Linked DNA regions of Bombyx mori. The main gene of each other region encodes a partner of the protein of the gene in region 2 in a complex. Links are inferred from orthologs where the notes say so. Each region holds a gene or a part of one and is shown on either strand. Other genes may lie near its edges.

Evidence for each region.
Region 1: beta-parvin (region 2) and LIM and senescent cell antigen-like-containing domain protein 1 share a complex: the UniProt entries of both Caenorhabditis elegans proteins name them as parts of the integrin containing attachment complex. The link is inferred for Bombyx mori from reciprocal best matches to the Caenorhabditis elegans genes pat-6 and unc-97.

What each region holds. Positions count from the first base shown.
Region 1 is NC_085112.1:7,031,124-7,041,292, forward strand, and holds LIM and senescent cell antigen-like-containing domain protein 1, read right to left. Parts: upstream 9,550-10,169; 5' UTR 9,380-9,549; intron 9,213-9,379; 5' UTR 9,162-9,212; coding exon 9,154-9,161; intron 8,440-9,153; coding exon 8,326-8,439; intron 7,320-8,325; coding exon 7,207-7,319; intron 6,682-7,206; coding exon 6,489-6,681; intron 6,126-6,488; coding exon 5,984-6,125; intron 5,213-5,983; coding exon 5,096-5,212; intron 3,740-5,095; coding exon 3,598-3,739; intron 2,771-3,597; coding exon 2,580-2,770; 3' UTR 1,218-2,579; downstream 1-1,217. UniProt on the Caenorhabditis elegans protein: Component of an integrin containing attachment complex, which is required for muscle development and maintenance. Probably function in adherens junction.
Region 2 is NC_085107.1:9,477,063-9,488,603, reverse strand, and holds beta-parvin, read right to left. Parts: upstream 5,319-11,541; 5' UTR 5,186-5,318; exon of another isoform or gene 4,963-5,185; 5' UTR 4,943-4,962; coding exon 4,828-4,942; intron 3,682-4,827; coding exon 3,592-3,681; intron 2,355-3,591; coding exon 2,083-2,354; intron 1,680-2,082; coding exon 1,489-1,679; intron 1,410-1,488; coding exon 1,295-1,409; intron 1,207-1,294; coding exon 963-1,206; intron 881-962; coding exon 804-880; 3' UTR 648-803; downstream 1-647. Other genes in the region: LITAF domain-containing protein, read left to right, coding at 6,748-6,889, 9,887-10,040. UniProt on the Caenorhabditis elegans protein: Involved in the regulation of cell adhesion and cytoskeleton organization. Component of an integrin containing attachment complex, which is required for muscle development and maintenance.

The DNA of each region.
Region 1 (10,169 bases), on a different chromosome or scaffold from region 2:
CGCCGTCGCACTAAACATGTCCTGTCGAGTCCCCCGGATCGGAAAAAGAACTTATAGGTATTTGTCAACTCATATTCATTGAATGCGAGAGGTAGTCACCGAGAATGATGGAAGTTTATCGAAAGAATCTACTGGACTTTTTTTCATTTGTCTCCATATAGAAGATATTTTAGTCATCGTCGCCTAAAGGGTAAGACGTCCGGTGCATTCGTATCTAGCGATGCAACGGTGTTCGAATACCGCAGGCGGATACCAATTTTTCTAATGAAATATGTACTTAACGAATGTTCACGATTTACTTCACAGTGAAGGAAAATAACATCGTGTGATAAAAAATAAACCCGCAAAATTATAATTTGCGTAATTACTAGTGGTAGGACCTATTGTGAGTTTGCACGGGTAGGTACCACCACCTCGTCTATTTCTGCCGTGAAACAGTAATGCGTTTCGGTTTGAAGGGTGGAGTAGCCGTTGTAACTATACTGAGACCTTAGAATTTATATCTCAAGGTGGGTGGCACATTTACGTTTTAGATGTCTATGTGCTCTAGTAACCACTTAACACTAGGTGGGCTATGAGCTCGTCCACCAATCTAAGCAATAAAAAAAAAACAAACGTGTGGCACTGGGGAACTGCCGCGGTATGCATTTTTTATCAACTTATGCAATTATAATTTAATATTAAAACAAGACCACGCCATATTAAACATTAAAAAAAGCTATGCAATAGCTTAAAATAAAGAACCTCGTATTGTGGATAATCAGCGCTGTTCGATTTATCGACCTTGAACAGCCTTAGCTGAGCCACCTCCTTTTGTCTTTTTTTTAATTTTTATTTTTCTTGTATTTTATTCTATTTAATGTGAAAGACAATAAATGATTTTATTTTTATTATTACCCTTTTGTTTGCTGATGTTCATGAGCAACAACGACCACTTATAAAATGACAATATAGCCTATCTATGTGCTTAATGCGAGTGTTTTAACGTTCTCGATAGCGTAAAAGGTAACATAAATTTGCCGCTAGGGACAAACGTTCCAACTCCATACTAATTACATGCGAGAACGTTAAAAAAGTCGCACTAAACACGCTGTCTATAACAAAATAAATTACAAATTAGAATCTTAAAATCAAAACTTCCCAAAATTTTGATTTTGTATTTGGTAACTTGACGAAACCCTAATCCCGTGCATTGTACAATAATCAAAAGAATAACGTGTTAGTAAAAAACTTTATTTGGTGTTACATAAATATTTAGATCTAAATTAAATTATAAAATATCTGTATTATACATTAAAAGGGTTAAAAACAATATTACAAAGGGTGCGAAACAAGTTTTCTTTTTTCTTTTAAATCATAATTTTCGTCTAATGTAAGGCATGCTAAAAACGTGACATTAATATACAATGCAGTAGCATATTATAGTCAAAAGTAGCATTCTTCAAAATGGAATGAATATAATTTTTTGAAATATATTTATCATTTCAGAGGGTTTTTCAAATATCATTTATATCGGTCTGATTGTCACTGTCATTGTCCCTGGCTAAGATAATCTTATATAATTAATATTAAAAAATAATTAGATCCAAATTCGTCATTTTGACCACACATTTGCTGTAATATTCAGTTCAATTGGTTTATAAAAATCATCGAAAATTTATATTAATAATCTTCATATAGTGTACAATATCTACAGATTTGTTTCCGTTTTGGCTTATGAAGCCAAGCCTTTTGAGTTCATTAATATAAATAGTTAACTTAGAAATAGTTCTACGTTTATATTTTGTGCTTTTAAATTCAGGTTCACGTGACCAAACTGATATTTTGACTTAATTCAAAACATAGTTTACAAGCACATTCAACAGATACATTTTTATTGCCAATAGAGTTAAATTGACTTATAGCTCATCTGGTCGTAAATAGATAAGAGCGACTTCAAAATAATATTTTTAAAGGAGTCAAATCAATAAATAAATCCATTGCACTTGAACAAAATAGCGAACGCGTCAATGATCAGTGCGAGTAAAGACAACATTCATAATCATTATATTTTGTATGGTATAAAATAATTAATTATTACATTTTACACTTAATATATTACATTAATAAGTTTAGTTGTTACATAGTAGGTACTTCAAGGCACAAATGGCAAGTGCATACTACATTTATTATATTTTTAAATTTGTTAGTTAATTATGTTAAAAAAATGTGAACACCGACATTACTGTGGTATAGTGGTTTAGTATAGTATAGACCAGTGATGGGCAAAGTACGACCCGCGGAAGTATTTTAATCCGGCCCGCCGAGAGTCCGTCCGTCCCAAATATTCTAGTCGGCAGTTTGGCGCGTAAAATAAAATCTGACGTTTATAATTGAAAATCTTCGAATTTTTCAAAACTCCCCTCAAAACACCCCTGACGAATTGGAGCTTTCATTATCTCATTTATTGGAGAAAAAAAAACATTTTTCTATAATTCTGGCCCTCCTCTAGTATTTCCTAAACATTGTGGCCGCCATTAAAAATGTTTGCCCACCACTGGTATAGACAGATTAATGTCGTTTATTCCTTGTATTTTTCGTTAACGGCGGACCGTGTAGTGATGAGCCCGACGTAGCCGACGTCGTAGTTCAGCCGGGAACTTCTCGTAGCAGCGTCTACAGGCGGGCCTCTCGTCGTATTCGTAGAACTTGCTACGCGTGCTCAGCGGCGCATCGCAAACGGAACACGCAAAATGATGTACGCACCAAGCCTTGTTCAATGCGGTGAATACTACGAATAAAATTACAGTTATTAAGAAAAAAAATGGTAAATTAAATAGATATTTTTGATTCGACCAGTTTGTGTTATTGAAGTAGCAATCAGCAGTACAACACAATAAGTTACATATTATGTGTAACATGTTACTTGTGATATATAACCTATATTATATTCACATTAAAACCTTCATAATTATAATACATACTAGCACACAAATTTTTAAGAAGTTAAGAATATATTCATTCGATAATATAAAAAAATCAGCTAAATAAGCAAGATATAATTTCAAATCACACTGAATATAATTAGTTTTTAAGTGAATTGTGATATTATAAAAACGTTTATGATTATTAACCAATAACACAAATATTGTGTTCAGAACTTATTTTGTGCAACAGCTATGTGTAGAAATCTTTCCCGTTCTTTTACCACTTATGCTGGTAATCTCGTGAGGTTATGTCAACTTAACTGTGCGAATAGGTGCTCTAACCTGACGACGTTGCTTCGCAAAATCTACCACCGGATCGGAATCGCGACCCACTGAGAAGATCCGACGAGAAACTCAGTAGGCTTTTTCCAGTATTAGCCCGCACGATATTAAAGCATTATTAAACTTAGTTAAAAAACAAAGATTTTTATTAAATTTAACTATTGCGTGTACTCCACTTGGCCATTTTCGATTGTTTTCTTTATTAAAAATTATATTTATTAACACAACTTACTTATTACGCAGAACAGTGTACTTAAACGATAAACCAATACAATACAGACAATTATGAAACCTCATCATATCACATGCCGAAATCATTAAATTTTAAATGAAATAATCGAATAGTTACCGTCGCCGGCGATAACTTGATTACAGACGTAGCACAAATTGCCGAACAACTGGTGATAATGTTGTTCGCAGTAGGCCAAGCCTTTCTTTTCATAATGACGATGGCCGTGAAATGGTTTCTCGCATTTGGCACAAACGAAATGCTGAAAAATTAAATTTTCTTTAAATTATTATTTTTATTGCTTTCGACTCAAACGGAACAGGTAGCAAACGGGTGATGATAACCAGTGGTCGAAGTAGGTAGATTGATTTTTTATATACTTGCGTCAAAATATTATAATATACACTAATATGGAATAATGGATTAATATTTTTAATATGTTTTTCACCTTAAACACAGATTCATGATAATTTCAAAATTCCGGAACAAATATCGCAATAAATATGAAGTTCCGGTATTTTGGAGGCATATCCATATTATCCTCTACATTTGACGTCAACGATCTTAAATCAATCTACCTACTCCGACCTCTAGTGAAAACCTAATCCATAGATATCGCAATGTGAATTGCGCTACCCCCTTGCAACGTCGAAGTTTCAATTCTATAATTACTACCATACCCTTCCAATCGAAACGCTGGATGGTTTCGCCGCATAGATAGGCAGACCGGTAACACTTATCCGTGTGTGGGCTCCCAATACTGCCGCCGATAATTATGCATATTTATAAGATTCTCGGTTTTTGTTAAACACTATATTTTTATTTCATCGTGGAAGTCGCTCAAGTGAGCATGTTAGGTACGTATTTACTTGGAACTAGGCAATGGCAATAACTGATTCGTCGCATCTAAAATCGTTAATTTTATTAATGCAATACAATTGAGGCTTTAACCTCGTGTCTGAAGTTGGACGCCGAGATTACTATTATGGTGTGTGATTTTCGATAAATACTTGTAACGGATAGGACGTCGTCAACTGCTGCAATGACACATTTGTTTATCATGCTGAAGCACTCTCTTTTAATGAATTTCGCAAATAGTGAAACTTATGGATTTTAGGAATTGTCGTGTATAAGAGATTTGTAAGTATCGTGATAGCAAGTCAATTGATGTTTTGCTATTTTTTCCATTTCACTTTTCATACAACAAAAGTGGCTTCGGCCATAACCAAAGATTAGATTCTGAAGTCACTTGCATATCCTCTTAAGTGGGAATCGCCACGAGGTGGTAGAAAATAGAATGCGCAATTTGAATGAAAAATCAGAAGCATATAGTGGATTTTTATATTGGTTTATACATACATAATAATATGTATGTTTGTATGAAACGGAATTTTTCAACTTAATTTTGACAGAATTCAAGACGTCCCATTAACTTGAACATGCATCAAAGACCAATGATAATACAATCATTTTAGGACTTCGCTCTATAAACGTGACCAGCATCGACAGACTAAAAAGGTTCTGATTTTTATGGTATTTATTGTATTCTATGATACCTACCGCTTCAGGACAATCTTATTGTATCACAAATTGTATGTTTAAATTAATTGGAGCATACCTCAACATGCCAATGTTTCCCGAGAGCAGTAACGATTCTCTCCTCGATGGGACGTCGGCAAGCACCGCAGATTGGAATACCCATTTTATCATGGCAACGAAGACAAAAGAGGTTATTCTGGAATATTTTTTTTTAATTAAACAAACTTCGATTAGCTCAGATTAAATAAATAAAATACTTAAATGATTGACAGTCAACTTCTCATTTACATTTAAGGAATTAAAAACTAGTTGATAATTTAATTTGCATTAGTTCTTCGGGCACATCACTCGTAACGAAGACTCCATTGAGCGGTTGGTGGTGCAAGGGAAAGTCGAGGGCAAAAGATCTCGCGGACGATCTCCAACACGATGGACCGACCTCATAAAATCTGCGACTCACACCAACATGATTGCTCTCACTCTGCGAAACACCGTGCCACATGGCGTCGCATCGCGTGAGCATCGGTATCCCAGGATTCGACTGATGCATGACCATGACAACTCTGTCAAGAGTGTACGAATAGGAAGAATTTAATTTGCATCACCAAGGTGATTTTTTATCATAAATTTTGGTAATATATTTGTCATAATGATACAATGGTTTCTAAGGTTATGTCTACAATACGTTTTATATTGACTTTCTATCTTATATTTGGCTAGCTTGTTTGTTGACCTTAACAATTTAATTCCAAATATGTTAGCTTTATTAAGCTTTTTCTCTTTTACGCATTTAGAGTTTACATTTTTTCATCTTGATTATCTAACAGATAAACCCATGACATTGATACATATTTTTTGTACACACAACGATTTCATTGGATGAATGTACTGTCTGAATGTGCAAATTGTCCTTTAAAATTAATTTTTATTTAATATTAATTTTATGTGACTATTTCAATATACTTACAACATCATTTGCAGCATATCCAGGACGATTTTTCACTTCTCTGGCTGTATGATCCAGCTCAACTCCACAGGTAGCACAGGTAAAGTGATAGCCATGGTAAACTTCTCCCCGATAACGTAAAGGTTCTCCGTCAATTACTCCACTGCAAGTTGACGATAATTATGTATAGTATTTGATCTATGTCTCAATTGTATTGTGATATAACTGATACATAATTCAAACAGGTACGCATAACTGATTATAATAATATGATCAGTTATGATGATATAATGATAATATGCTTTCATTGTGAAAACATCTTACATACGTTTAACACCAAATTCTTATGCTGTTTCCACTACTTTTTTATGGTACTTGCTACTATGTAATAGAGAACTTGTTTCTGTGTGTAAAATATATGTAGTATAATCTATGAAGCATTACCAATAGTGATAATTAAAGATGACAGATTTAGAAAATTCTAAAATTATAACAACACAAATTGTACATAATTAAGAAAACATACTGGCACTTATGACACATGTAGTTCTGCAGCCCATCCGCTTTGATACGCGCGTTACATACATGGCACAATGCTCGACCAGCATGCTTGATAAAACCGGCATCTGCAAGCTCTACATTACACTCTTCACATCGGAAGCAGGCCGGATGCCAATTAGAGTTCATCGCCTTTATAACGCGGCCAATCACAAACTCTCCTGTTTAAAAAATAAAAAATATTTTATGGTCACATATGTATGGCATCTTTTGTAGTATATTATATAGACTGGTTATGATCGTGTTTATTGGTAATGATTTTATTTACTGTGAAATATATGCAACAAGACAATTCTTATTGTATTTTATGCATTGAAGATCTTATTGTATTTGATACTAGTTGAGTATCGCGATGTTACCCGCGGTTATTGTTGTACCGCGGGTGACGTCGCGGAGTGAAGCTAGTCTAAAAAAGTAGCCTAAGTTACTCCTTATATCATCAGCTACCTATCAGTGAAAGTCCCGACAAAATCAGTCCAGCTGTTCCAGAGATTAGCCGGAACAAACAGACAGACAGACAGACAAAAATTTTATAAAATATTATTTTGATATATGTACTGTGTTTACATACTTACGCATTTAGTAAAAAGTGGTTATTTTATTATTACAAACAGACACTCCTATTTTATTTATTTGTATAGATTAAGATTGAAATTATTATTTAAGGTTCTACCCCACTTACTTACCACACTTTGCACAGCATGGTGCAAATAAAACTTGGAAATCCTGTTCACAATACTTTCGTCCCTCAAATTCATAGAAGACACCATCAGGAAACATGCGAAAGCACTGGGCACAACTACAAAAACATGTTTACATAACAAAAAGGGTTGATCTCATGAGTCTAAATGACAAAATAAGCTCTTGCTAAGGATTGTGTTAGCAACAACGTCAGGTTTGAGCCCCATTACGCTGACATAGCCTCTCAAGCTTAGGTAGGAAAAATAAATGGCTCTAGTGCCTGACTAGTCACCACATCTAGAATATAATCTCTTTCTGTTTAATGCAGAAAATTAACAGACTTGAGCATCAACTAATTTGGTAATCAGATAAGCCATCTGATAACTACTTGAATCCAAAAGAATTAGATTAATTTTTAGGTAAATTTATAGATTTCGATTGAAAATATTTTTTTCAGTATTGATACACAAACTTGTTTTTTTTGTATTAATATGTTTATTATCAGTTATACAAAAACCTTTCTAGATTACTAAAAAGTCAGATCTGAAAGGCAAACAGATACCAGCAACATAGAAAATACATTGGTTTCCATTAATCTATGGTATAATCTCACTCACTATCCAGTACTAATTACAGCAACTTTAATTGAAACAAATGCATACATGTAATAGTACATTCCTCCAGCATTTTTGCGACTTGCACGCGTGGCAATTTTACACGCGGGAGGAAATGTCCAACTTTTCTCCCTTGGTGCACATAGTATTTTTTCTCCTACCAGACCGACCCCGGTGGGGTCCAAGGGCGGAGCCCCCCCTTACTCATAAAAAACAATTTAACTGTTTTTTAATTTTTAAATAAACTACTAGTTGAATAAGAACTGCCTGATGAACTCAACAATGGCAGAGAATTTTAGGTGGGTGAGAGCAGACGCAGACATTAACGCACATGCGTACTTGTATCCAGGGAGGAAAAGTTACACTTTCTTCCCTGTATAGCGGGATGAAAACCGAACTTTCAGCGTAGGTAGGAGAAAAAATTTCTTTCTGACCACATCAACTAATTTTAAGCAGCTTTATGTTCTTATTATGTTTAAGCTTATATTAAGGAAAATCAGTTTTACTTACACAAAACAATTTGTATGCCATAATTCTCCATTGGAGTTCACAATTTTCTCATTTGGCTCAAATCCATCCCCACAGCGAGTACAATACATATTATCAAGAGACATCGTAGCTAAGCTGAAATAAATAATTAACTTTTTAAGTCATATGAAGTAGGTTTTAATTGAAATTTATTTAACTATTGATTGATTAGTTAATGTTAACGTTATCTAGTCATTTGTAAATTAAATAATAAGTACATTATATGACATGTCTAAATCTTTCAATACAAACAATAAAACAGATAAAGAATCTTTAAAATTTCAAAATGATACTACAAGTAATTTGCCTTCTGAAGCTCACTGGCAATTTAATATAGTCACAACATAGAACCCACACAAGTTAAACAATTTACTTTCAATTCTAAGTTACAACTAAAAAAATTTCTTTAAGTTGAAATAGCTGAAATGAATAAGTGTATAGGGATTCCTATGATTTTATTTAAATGAATATAAATATTTGGTAAAAAAATTTTTGAGGTAAAATGTATTGTACTAGTTACAGGAAAACTACCAGTATTTAATCAAGTAATGAGGAAAACTAAATTTAAGGATGACATTAAATTAGTAATAAAAATACTTTTAATGCATATTATTAATTTGTTTGTATTTGTTAGTTTTATTTATGCGCCAATGATGTTATGAACTATTTGATTGCTTTTAGGTTTTTCTTAATGGATATATCTAACTTAAAATGTTCAAAAATGGTTAAGATGCTGCAAGTAGAAGTTAGGGTGGGTGCATTTTATGAGTGACAAGTGTTTAACCACTCCCACGTCCAGCTGCAGCTTACCCAGGCATTTTTCACTTCAAATGTACTCAAATCTAATTAACGAGAACTCCAGAATACTTCTGCAGGAAAGAATTACATTACTCACAAGTCAATTAATACAATTAAACAAATGAATAGTCAACAACTGCAATTTAAAACATAGGTTGTAACTAAATGATGTAATTGAACAAGAATAGATTTTAAGTTATGAATCATTCATAAAAATAATGTTCGAAACTAAACTTACAACAATGATGCGTTAGGTAAACTAAAAAATCTGGTTTTTATTAGATTATTTTAACTTTTATTATCGACTAAAAATACTTTTATAAAGAAAGTGTGTTGAAAGTCGAAAAGTAGATTTTAAATATCTAGTATTATCTATGTATGTATGTTTTTGTTTTTAAGGACTTTGTGACCTGGTAACTAAGACCTTTAGATCAAGTCTTATTTTAATTTATAATTTTATTTTTATGAAAAATGATAATATGGAGTGAAATGAAATGAAATTAAATAAAGATGATTAATTTGAGACATTAATCTACTGAGATGAAATTAAATGAAATGAGATGAGATGATATGGGATGAAATATAATCTCAGTAAAATGGTGGGAATTTACTGAGATTTTTTTAGAGGACTGTTTGGAGGCTCCCGAGTAGCTACGTCCAGCGGCTTTGTTTCATTTTCCCAAATTTGTGCACTTGCACAAATATTAAACAGTTAATAAACCACCGTTAAATTATTACACATTTAAACCTGAAGAAACTCTAAATAGACCAAATAAAAGAAATCACACAATTCACTCTTCGCGTTCTCGCCAAAAAGTCTGTATGTATATGTACGTTTGTATTTTTCATAGATACACTTAATTTTAATAAATCTGTTTTTTTGTTTGTATTCCTCCAAAAAGTCCACTGAAAAACTCTCAGTAATTGACCACCATTTTACTGAGATTATATTTCTTTCCATATCATCTCATCTCAATTCATTTCATAATATAATTTTACTTAGTACTTATATACTTATAAAATACTTT
Region 2 (11,541 bases):
CTCTTAATCACTACTGTAAGCAGCACATCATTTTATAGTTTTTTTTAAATCTAAATACCGATATGATTGTGTAGTCAAGATGTGATAAAATGCTTTAGACTACCTGGTGTATTGTTTGAACTCTGACCAGTAAACAATATATTTTTAGGACTTGACTGCGATTTTATGTATTTTCATATTGTGTACGGTAATAAAATAGTATTCATACAGAAAGTAGTGTTTTACTCATTTCCGGTATTTTTTTATAACCTTATCCTATTTAGTGCCTATAAAATTAGGTTTGTACTGTCTTAAAAACTTGCTGTCTTTCTCTCTAAATAACAAAATGTATAATCCAATCACTACAGGTTTTTTGGAGCCTTGGCTTCAGTGACATCACGTGGTGTCGCTATAGTGCGGGAGTCGAACCATTGTACAACCCCGTTTCTCGTCCAGTCAAACGATACCCAATATAGAACTCTAAAAGATTAACTGGACCGAGTTGAGTTTTAAATACTCTGCAACTTTAATGATGTATCATTCACTAAGACTGAACGTCTTTAGCAGGCAGAAATATTTGATTGCTTAGTCGCTATTTAGTCGATCAAAATTTTAGAGCTTTTAAAGTGACTATCGATAATAGTCAATCAAACCGACAAGTAAAACAATTTTTTGTTAGTCATATTATTTATTTTAAGGCACTATTATAAAAAATAATTAAAATATATTATGTATAGCACTCGTATTAAATTAATACATTAAATGGTTATCACTCTTGTTAATTTTTTGATCATTCGATGGATCAAATGATGGTTAATAAATAATTAAGCCATATTTTTATATTTTGTGAACAGATTGTAAAGCACTCGAAGGGTTGACTTGAGGTCGAGATTCACGATATCTGAAATAAAAATTAACAAATCATATTTGAAATTCATAGTATACCTTAATTTACATATTTTTATTAAGACGATTGGCCTTACCTTCAGGCCTGGCTTTGGGCTTTCCCAGACCAACATCTTGCATAAGCTCAAATGCAAATGATACATTATGAACTTTCTGATCAAAATCTTGAGGTGTTAAATGAAAGTCGTAAAGAGGTACAAAGAATTCTTCAAGTAAGCCCATTAAAAGACATAAGTATACTCCGTCATGGAACTGGGTGTCCAAATCCATTACCTCTAAGTTCACTTTGCTCAAATGTTTATTCACAAATGTAATAAGTGACTGAAAAAAGACAAAAAAGAACACAAATTAAATAAATAGAAACGTCATGTTAATGGGAGATTAATTAATTAAATAAATAAATCAATACCTTCTTAACAACTAAGAGCTTGTCCGGTGCATGGTCGAACAACGCATCAAACGCATCACGTTCACATTTCATGCCGAGATCGTCATAAGTAGTCGTTATGGTTTCGATTAAAGTCCTAAAAAACACTTTTATTAGTTATAAAGATTACAATTTATAAAAATAAAATTATTTAAAAACAATGTAACAAGGTTTACCGGTGAGATAGTTGGGTCGGTGTGTTTTTCTTGACGATAACAACGTTCACAGAAACATTTTCGGGGAGACGTATGGGAGCTCGGAAATGACGGGCCAGAGCAACGAGCAAATGAAGAATCGAAACAATACTTTTTGAATGTATCGAATCCACACTCCATTTTGGTACTGGTTTTGATGTACCGTACAAGACCTAAAACCAATACAACTACATTATTATAATTCACAAACAATTACTATAGTTATTATTATAATTTAGTGCAACCTTAACTAAATTTTTTTTGCTATAGACATAGTTTAGGCAGTCTAATTCTTAGTATTTGAATGGTTCTTTTGAAACGAGAAGAATATAGTACAGATCTTGGAGGCCCATAAGTGAACTTACTACTTGTTCTCTTTCCAACTATCCCAAATAAAGCAAGAGTGCTTTATACCGCAATAGCTCTTGCTCGTTTCGTATTGAGATGTCGCTCTGGGCCTGCGCTGTTTGAAACTAGGTTCCGACTATTCTATCCGTACCCCTTACCTAGACGAGTGACTGCAAGACCTGCTCCAGATATTGATTATAAAAGAGAATAGTTAATAATAATGCTTACTCGATTAACAGCCCGTAAAACTATAGTCAATTTCTGGCGCTGTCCTTCTTCTGATTGAGTTACTTCAGGTACATCAAGTTTCGTCTTTGTTAATTGTTCTAAAAGTTTTTGAAGCACTTGACCGTCATAAAGATCTTCGATGATGTCCTGGACGATTATTCTCTGTGAAGCTAGTTCATCGTTGATCCAGTCAATCAAGACTTGAATCAGATCTCTGACCCTTGGATCTTCAAGTGATCGAGGTTCGATAATAGCCCTTTCTTCGTTCTCATCTAAATCGAAAGTTTAAAGTTAAAAAGTGAAATGCATGGTTTGTACACGAGAATTAGCTTTCATTTCGTGTTCGATAGTTCAAGACGTCACGCGTGCCATAAACATATTAGAATTTTCTTTTTTATATGATACTTGATAAAGACCCATTCTAACTACTCTAAACGCGTGTATGGATTTTTATACACATTACATAAGTCAATTACCTAACTCGTAATAATATGTTGTAATAGAATATCTTAAGTATCCATTGAAGACCATCAAAAGAGGTAACTTAAGAAATAAACACAAAAACTTCGAAAGAACGCAGTAGAACATGCGAAGATGTTGAAATTGAAAGAGAAAGGGAGAGATTACAGAAATTGCAAGGTAAATGAAAGAAAGCCGTAGGCTATCACAATTAACTTTCTGGGTCCCACTCTCGGTTCTTTTAGGCTCCCCAAGCACTGGTCACTGTTCTCGTCGAATAAGACGAAGAGTTCGACGTGCAAACTAACCCATAGTCACAAACTGACTTTTTGCCAGATCTTCTCAGTTGGTCGAGATTCTGATCCGGTGGTAGATTAAGCGAAGCGCTGCTCTTGCAAGGGCCAGTGTTAATTAACCCTCTCAGGTTGAGCCCGTGCGCTCACCTACCAGTTTGTGAGTAGCTGGAATAGCCCCTTAGGCTACCAGCGATCAGGTAGAGAGAAACATATTGTTGAATACATGGAAGATAATAAAAATCTATATAGTAGAATAAATAAAAATTTGCAAGGCAAGAAAAGTTGCAAGAATGTAATACATATTTATTCATGGAAAAGCTGAAGGAAAAATGGAGATATTGATGCGTATTGTAATAAAGGTTACTGCTTTTAAGTAAAAATGAATATAGAGAAGACACTTTGCTTAAAATAAACAAAATTAATCCCTTCGTTGACTGGACATATTCAAGAAACAAAAATACAATGAAAATTATTCATATGTATAATCAAAAGAAAAAATAGCAAGCTAAGTATTCCCTGCTGGGGATATGGACCATCCCATTTAGCTGTAATGGCAGCAAGTACCAACCTGTTATAAGTTTTAGTTTTCTACTATCCTAATTTCACAAGGTTGTGTAATAAATGATAAATGATCCCATACTATAATACAAATATAACCCTCAAGAGTGGGATAAGATTTAATGATTATAATAACAAAAATATATTTCAGAACATAAGTGCATTTTCATAACTTCTAAATTTTTATTTTACTTACTCAAAGTATATTCTTCAGGGGGAATCTCTGGTGCAGTTGGACTGCCTGGAGAATCAATAGCATATTTCCCTTCAGCTTGTACATCTTGAACTGAAACATTACATCTTCATTATTGGTATTGCCACAAAACATTCTTAATATATTATATTAATATATTTTATGTAAATGGAAAAAGCTAATACCTTAATATAAATTGTCTTGTCTAAACTTTATTTAATATGATGGCTATTTTAACATAAAAACAGGAAGACATCATTGATTCACAGCAGAAAAGGCAAAATAACAATACAAACTGCTCACAACAGACCAGTACTCAAGATTGCAATTTAAAGCTACAAAGAAAAATATTAAAAGGAAGTTATATAGTATATTCTACTGCAGTATTCTGAGGGCAGGCTATGTTAACCACTGATTATCTACTTGGATCTAAGTTTGCCGATCCATTTAATTATATTTTTAATGATTACAATTATGTTTTTCTTTATCAGAAAACTGAACAAACATACAGTCCACATCATGGTGAATGGTTACCGGCGTTCATAGATGTCAATGACAGGGGCACAGCCAAGTCTACTACTACTACCTACTACTAGATATTATTATACCTAACAAATTCAAAATTTCTAAAATATTATATCTAAAAAACAAAAAACATTAAACTACTGATCACCTAGTTAATCATTATTGTATTAATGCAGCAGCATATGTTATAATGACTGAAGGCAAAATATAGTAATTATTAATCTGAGTATATTTTGCATCGGTGGTTTACTCAAGATAAAATATAAAAAGAAGCTGTCTTCAAAATACACATATGCAATCTAAATTGAGAATCTCTAAAATCCAGTTAAAAATAATTGCCATTCCAGTGTGACCTCTTAGGCCAGTTTTGAAAGGTTTCAAATAAAAAATATTTCAATTTTGCAAGAGGTGGTTAAAGCAGTAGCAATTTACAGAATTTCCTTAAATAATTTTCCTGGTGCTGTAAAACAAACATCACACAAAAACTAAAACTGAATAGAATAAAATTGTTATATTTTATAATTATATTCGTTTTATTTTTTATTCTATTATTGGCTACTTTCTATTAATGGAAATAGTTTATTTCAAACTTCTGTGTATACATAAAATTTTCTAAAGCTGTCCTTCGGTTCCCATGTTAATCATGAATTTGACATTTTAAATAAACCCACACATCAAATATGAATTTGATTAGAATTTGTAATTATACTTTACCTTCTTTAATCCCTTTTTTGCGCCCTATTGTACCAATTTTGTCCCAAAAGGACTCTTTTTCCTCTTTTTTGGGAAGCACAGGAGTACGAGGTGATTTTGGGCGTGGTGAAGACATTTCGAAATGAAAATACCTACCTGTAAATGTACATAAACTGAATTTAAACCAGAAGTTACTTGTACTTGTTAGTATAGAAGATATCTATTGTGGATCAGTATGACCTATGACTAACGTGATGCAATGTATATTAATAAAAAAACATTTATGTACATATGTACCTTAATTAAAGTACGTACTACATAAATACCTACACCAGTAAGTAGGTACGGTACCTACCGTATGTATTTGTGATTTACCTACCTGTTTTCAGTATTTTTGACGTTTACAATGTTTTTTGTCTATAGCAGTCACAGACAGATCAATCCAGACTGATTGAAAATATTAAGCAACACTAGCTCGAATGTTGTCAAATCTTTAAAAATAATACACTGGTATAATTTCTCGTGCTTTGGAGATCAAATTTATTTCCCAAACACGAATAAAATAAAATCCAAAATTTTAGTGTGAGTTGACTAAGCAAATAATTCCTTTTTTTTGTATTATTCCACCTTTAAATTATACCTATGCATGACTTTAATATATAAATGAATAGAATATGCATTAAAACGTGATGTTAGTGTCACATACATACAGCACATTAATGTGTGATGCTGTCTTTCACCCAAATCACCTATTGCTCATCAACTAGCATCTGAACCTTTAATGAGATAGAACTCAAACTAGGTAGATAGAAGTAAAACCTTTAGACTGAAATTAAACGCATGCACCTCCACGTCGTAGGTACAACAACTACTATAACCCTACGTCAGTGAGCTGTGCGGTTTCCGCCTAAAAAGCTCTAATTAATTAAATCCCATGGTATAACGTATTTTAGAAACAGCGGAAAATATAGCGTTTCATCACCTAGTTGCTGTTGAGCATTTAGATCGCATCTTATACAGCTCTCTTCCCATGTTCCTAAACAGGCTTATAGAAGAAACTTAACACATTTAAAAAGCTAGGAGACGAAGATACTTGCCCTCTCCTCATTTCAAAATCAAAGCTAAGCAATCAACACACGATTAGTTTTTTGGTAATTTTCCTAATACTCGTGCAAGTACTAAACTCTTGTCAATCTCTTTCAAGTGTTAAAAGATCCTTCTACCTAGCACTATATTGTCTACGTACTGAATATCTCTAAATTGCTTGTAATAGTTAAAAATGAACTATGCCGAGTGTATTAGGTAGTTTTCCAATTACAGCACAAGAGCGCATTATGCGGCATAATGCTCAACTAAGCTTCAGCAGAATTCGGCATTGTGCGTCACGGATTACAGAGCATAATGCGACTCAGTGACGCACAATGGCGAATTATGCTGAAACTTAGTTGAGCATTATGCCGCATAATGCGCTCTTGTGCTGTAATTGGAAAACTACTTTAATATATTATCTATATCATAAACGAGAAAACCCTGTCGCAAAGCCCAAACGTACCTAACTAACTATTAGACTAATCTGTGCCCCAAACTCCAAACATAAAATCACTTAAAAAAGTGAACTTTAGTGAAGCAAAACAAGTCTGGTTCGTATTTGGCTATTTATTACACTCAAATACTAAGTTATGCATTGCGTCTATAGTGTAAATTAACAACTCAAACCTTAAAATATTTATTAAAAATTAGATCCTTCAGTTCGAAGTATTGTTTTTAACAAATTTTACGAACTGTTGAACTATCAATTTAATAGGCTGAGGCTGGGTGGGTAGTGTGTATTGTGTAGTCATACCTAAAAATAACTTCAAGATTGAATTACGTCACTGGTCTCACTCTTTAAGTACTTTCTAATGTGATTATTTTAAACAGTATTTGTTTACAGCTTGAACAATGGAAAAAAATGGCAATCCTCCTCCATATGTATGGGGCCAGGCAAATGTTTTACAGCCTCCGCCTGCTGCTCCACCTAGCTACTCGCAAGCAGTGGGGGGTGTAGGGCCTTCCAGCCCTTACACACCTCAGTACCCAACAAGTAAGTAAAATAAATAATATATTGTTTTTATAGGTATACTGGTACAATCTAGCTAATTCAATGTCATAAGTTGAAAATTTTGTTCCATTTGCAGTGAATGAAACTTTAAATAGCTGCAGAGTAGATAGCTGTCAAATTAATAGTAATGCTTAAATATGTGAACACACTGGGTTTCAGATATTTATTTTAAAATTTAGGTCAAGTTTTTATTTTGAGTCAGTGACATTGAACAGGTTGATCTTATTATAATTTGCATGTGTGTATCACATATTTTAAGGTTGAAATTGTTTTCAAATGTTAGTGTTCCTCAAATAAGTACACTACATTAGGTATGTAAGATATATAATTTAATACATTAATTTTTACTATTTCAATTAATGTATTCAAATCAAATCAAATCAAAAAAATTTTATTCAACATAAATGAAAGTACATACTTGTTGAACGTCAAAAGAACTACCGCTACTATTGAAAATCTTTTACCTTTAATTTTTTGTAAAAGCTTGTATTTTGTAAGAGCTTTTACTGTCAAACTTAATAGAACATAAATGTCAATTCACAAAGCTAGTCTCGTCATATAATAGTGAGCGCCCATTGTGTGAGAATTTGAATTACACCATACATTGGCAAAATATTTATAGTTTTAATGTTTCTACATAATTCACTGTTTAAATCCTAAAGATCTCAAAATCAGAAGTAAAACATCACTCAATTAAATTGTATAGGGGTAATGATTAATTCAAAACTACATTTAATGTCTGTCATGAATAATATCAACAGGTGAAAGGCTATTTGCTTTAAGCGACATTTTGTTTTATTTGGTATTAGCATTAATAATTCAATGTTTTCATTTAAATTTTAATTCATTTTATCCCATTCTACTAGATGAAGATGCTCTTTTGGTTATTATATTTTTTCGAAATTCTAAACTTTAAATGGTTCTCCTGTAATGTTTGCAAAAATATTGCTTAAACCAAACTAGACGATGACCGAGCTTCGCTCGTCTTTTTTTTTTATAAAAATTGTGTTTTTTAGTACGAATTACATATTGATAAAATGATGAAATATTCCAAGATCGGTTAGGTATTTTTAAGTGAACACGTGAGTTAAAAAGTCACAAATAATATACTTAGTCTGGCCATAAATACTGTTACAATTAAAAATTAAAAAAAATCTAGTGCAAATAACATTTATTACTTTTACAATGTGTTAGTTTAATACATAAATATAAAACAATTTAAAGTATAAAAAGCTTATTCGAAGTGGTCTCCATTGGCTGCAATACAGTCCTTTAAACGTTGAGGCCAGTTATCAATAGAAGCACGCACTCTTTCCATGGGAAAATTTTTCACTGCCAATCGTACGAACTGTTTTAGGGACTCCAAATTATCATGGTGTTTAGAGCAAGCCGTACTCTCTAAAACTGACCATAAATCATAATCCAGTGGATTAAGATCGGGACTAGACGACGGCCAGTCTTCAGCTCTGATGAAGTCCGAAACGTTCGTTTCCAACCAAGACTGCATAGACCAAGCTTTATGACCTGGCGCCGAGTCTTGCTGGAAGGACCATTCTTGATTATTGAACATAGTGTTGTTAAGGGGCTTCACTACCTTCTCAAGAATGGTATCTTGATACACTTGTGCCGATGTTTTGGTAACTTTTTTACAAAAGTATGGCTCAGTCACTCCTTCATAGCTAATACCCCACCAAACCATCATTGAAGTCGGATAGTGCCCACGTTGCACTCTGTTGACTAATTGGGAAGCTTCCTTAGAGCTTTGAGCATGAATATGGTCATTTTGTTTGTTAAAATGTTGCTCAATTGTAAAAAATACGCTGAAATAGCCCCTAAGGCTATCAGCTTAGGTAGGAAAAAAAAAAGAAAAGTAAAAAATTTCTCATCCGGAAACAAAATTTTTCTATGACCTCCCTTTGCGTACCGCTTCAGTAGTTATTTCGATTTTACCACCCTAATCTCTTTTAAATTATCAGTAAAGAAATGACCAGTACGTCTCTTATAGGCTGCAAGTCCTAAGTCATCTTTTAAAATACGCGACATGGTTCTAGGTGCTATCTTCATCTCCCGAGATAAAATCTTTTGTTTTCGGACAGGATTTCTTCGAATTCTTTCCCTTACTGCTTTGACCACTACGCACTACTTTTTCGCACGAACACTACGTGGACGGCCAGATCTTTTTCTGTCATAAACAGAGGAGGTTTCATTGCACCTATTAATAGCCCGGTACACAAACATTTTACTAATACCAAGCGTATGGAGAGTTTTAAAAATTGCATTTGGCTCCATACCTAATTTGTGTAATGCAATCACAGCGATTCGGTTCTCTTTATCACCCCACTCGAGTTTAATATCGCAAAGTATTGTACAATGTATTGGCGCCAAAATGAGAACACTCAATGAGCAATCATATAAAAATGACAGATTCCAAATTCAAATGTAATATTTTGTTTATTTTTAATTGTATCAGTATTTATGGCCAGACTAGGTAAATAAACAATTTATTTTCTTGGTCTGACCTTAAACCAAACGCTCATTGGCTTCAGGTGGCTTAACAACGCCATCTGCTGAAATAGCTTTAGTGTTATTGTGTCTTTAAAGCTTTAAAGTTGCTCTCAATTATAAAAAATAGTATTATTATTCGCCAATAGATGTCGGGAAGAGTCATAAAGTTGATTATCGATAAACGAATAAAACAACATTTTCTGAAAATAAATCGTAGCTACATCGATTTATCGCCCCCGAAATCCCCTGTATACCAAATTTTATAAAAATCGTTGGAGCCGTTTCCGAGATTCAAATTATATATATATAGATCCACACTTCATCCATATATATATACAAGATTTGCTCGTTTAAAGGTATAAGATAGCCTTTCACCCCTCAATATATAATACGATGTCTGTCATTATTTCACATTTGTAGCTCAACTGTTTTTTTTCATACATTAAAAAGTTTTCAAAATAAATTATTTTTCAGCAACAGGGCCACAAATTGTTACAACCGTAGTACCGGTTGGGCCGCATCCAACTCATATGATTTGTCCTAGTTGCCATGCCGAAATTAACACATCAACACAAACAAAACCTGGTCTCATTGCATACATAACTGGTGCAATTATATTCCTTTTAGGGTAAGTATTCTTTTATTATGTGTATTGTACCTTTACAATGATGGTTACAGTGTCTTTTGGAAGAAAAATAGATTTTATTGAAGATTGATTTAGATGGAATTCTTTGTGAATTATATTATTTATTTGTCAGAAATTGAAGCCACCAAATGGGATTGTTTTCTTACCTCAACTAAATTTACAACAACAAATAAACCAAAGATTTTTTTACATAGGATATAACACCTAAAAACTATATTAGTAAAATTAATGGAATATATTTTTGTAGCATATCTATCATGCAACACACAACTTTATGGCTGATTTAGACTGTTAGATGATTACACCATTGCAACACAACTACATATTAACAAATATAACTACTTGACACGTTCATAGTGTTGTTGTTTTGTGTTTACCTGAATGATGTAAAGTGCAACTTGTGACAACCACTCCTCTCAACCTTAAATAAAGTTGTTACCATAGCCCAAGGATGCTAAGAGAACAGCCAGGCTGCTCCTTACTGAGAATGTTGGAGAAGATGTGAAATATCTTGCAGAAAAACCCCCTTATATAGCTAATTCCTAATAGGTACGACGCACAGTTTACTCTTAATCATGACATTATACTATATTAATTAAATAAAAATTATTACTTTTCATAACTTCGTTTCACAACATTTCACATTAATATGATAATGATTTATTATTTGTTGCATAATGAATGTGCTAACTCACGGCCTAGTTGGTATTAAGTAGTTATTGTTATTGGAGCCCATAGACATCACAAAGTTAGTACCGCTGTCCACTTTGCTTTAATATTACTATATAAAGGCTGTCCCACTTTTCCAATAGGGACGCAAGACTGCTACGTAGTCGAAACGGGGTCTACCATACCCTCTATGGTTATAGCCCGACAGCGCGTAGCTGGGATAGCCGCTTAGGCTACTAGTGAATAGATAGGAATAATAATAATAATAATAGGTATAGACAGCATACTCCCTGTTGCCCGTAATTACGAAAAGTTGTCGGGATTTTTTCTGCATTCATGTTATTCCTAATTACATCGTGGAGATATTTCTTGAATACTTGTTAAGCTCGTATTTCTATAGAAAAAGTGTTGCCTGCTTGCCGAATTTCATTTAATACACTGACCGTATCATCTTTTAAGCTACGACCATTTCTGTGCACTCAGAATATCCGTAAAGTGATTCGCATGCGGTAGTATATACTCGTGTAACAAACAACCTTCCTTGAGCTGCTAGGTCTCTTTTAGGAGCGCTCGGGCAGTTGTTCGCTAACCTTATGTATTTGAGCTCGCCCAGCCGTCCAAGCTAAGCAGTAAGGCTGAGCGCGCCCTACGATTAAAATTCGGTGCAAAAAAATATGGCAAATCTGTGAAGAACAGAAAAACAATCCACGCACTACGAAAAAAATCTTTTGCGATTTAAAATTGCAGATACAATATTGTATGTATATTTTGTACCGTATGAAGTAATATCAAATCCCGCGCATTGCGAAAAATC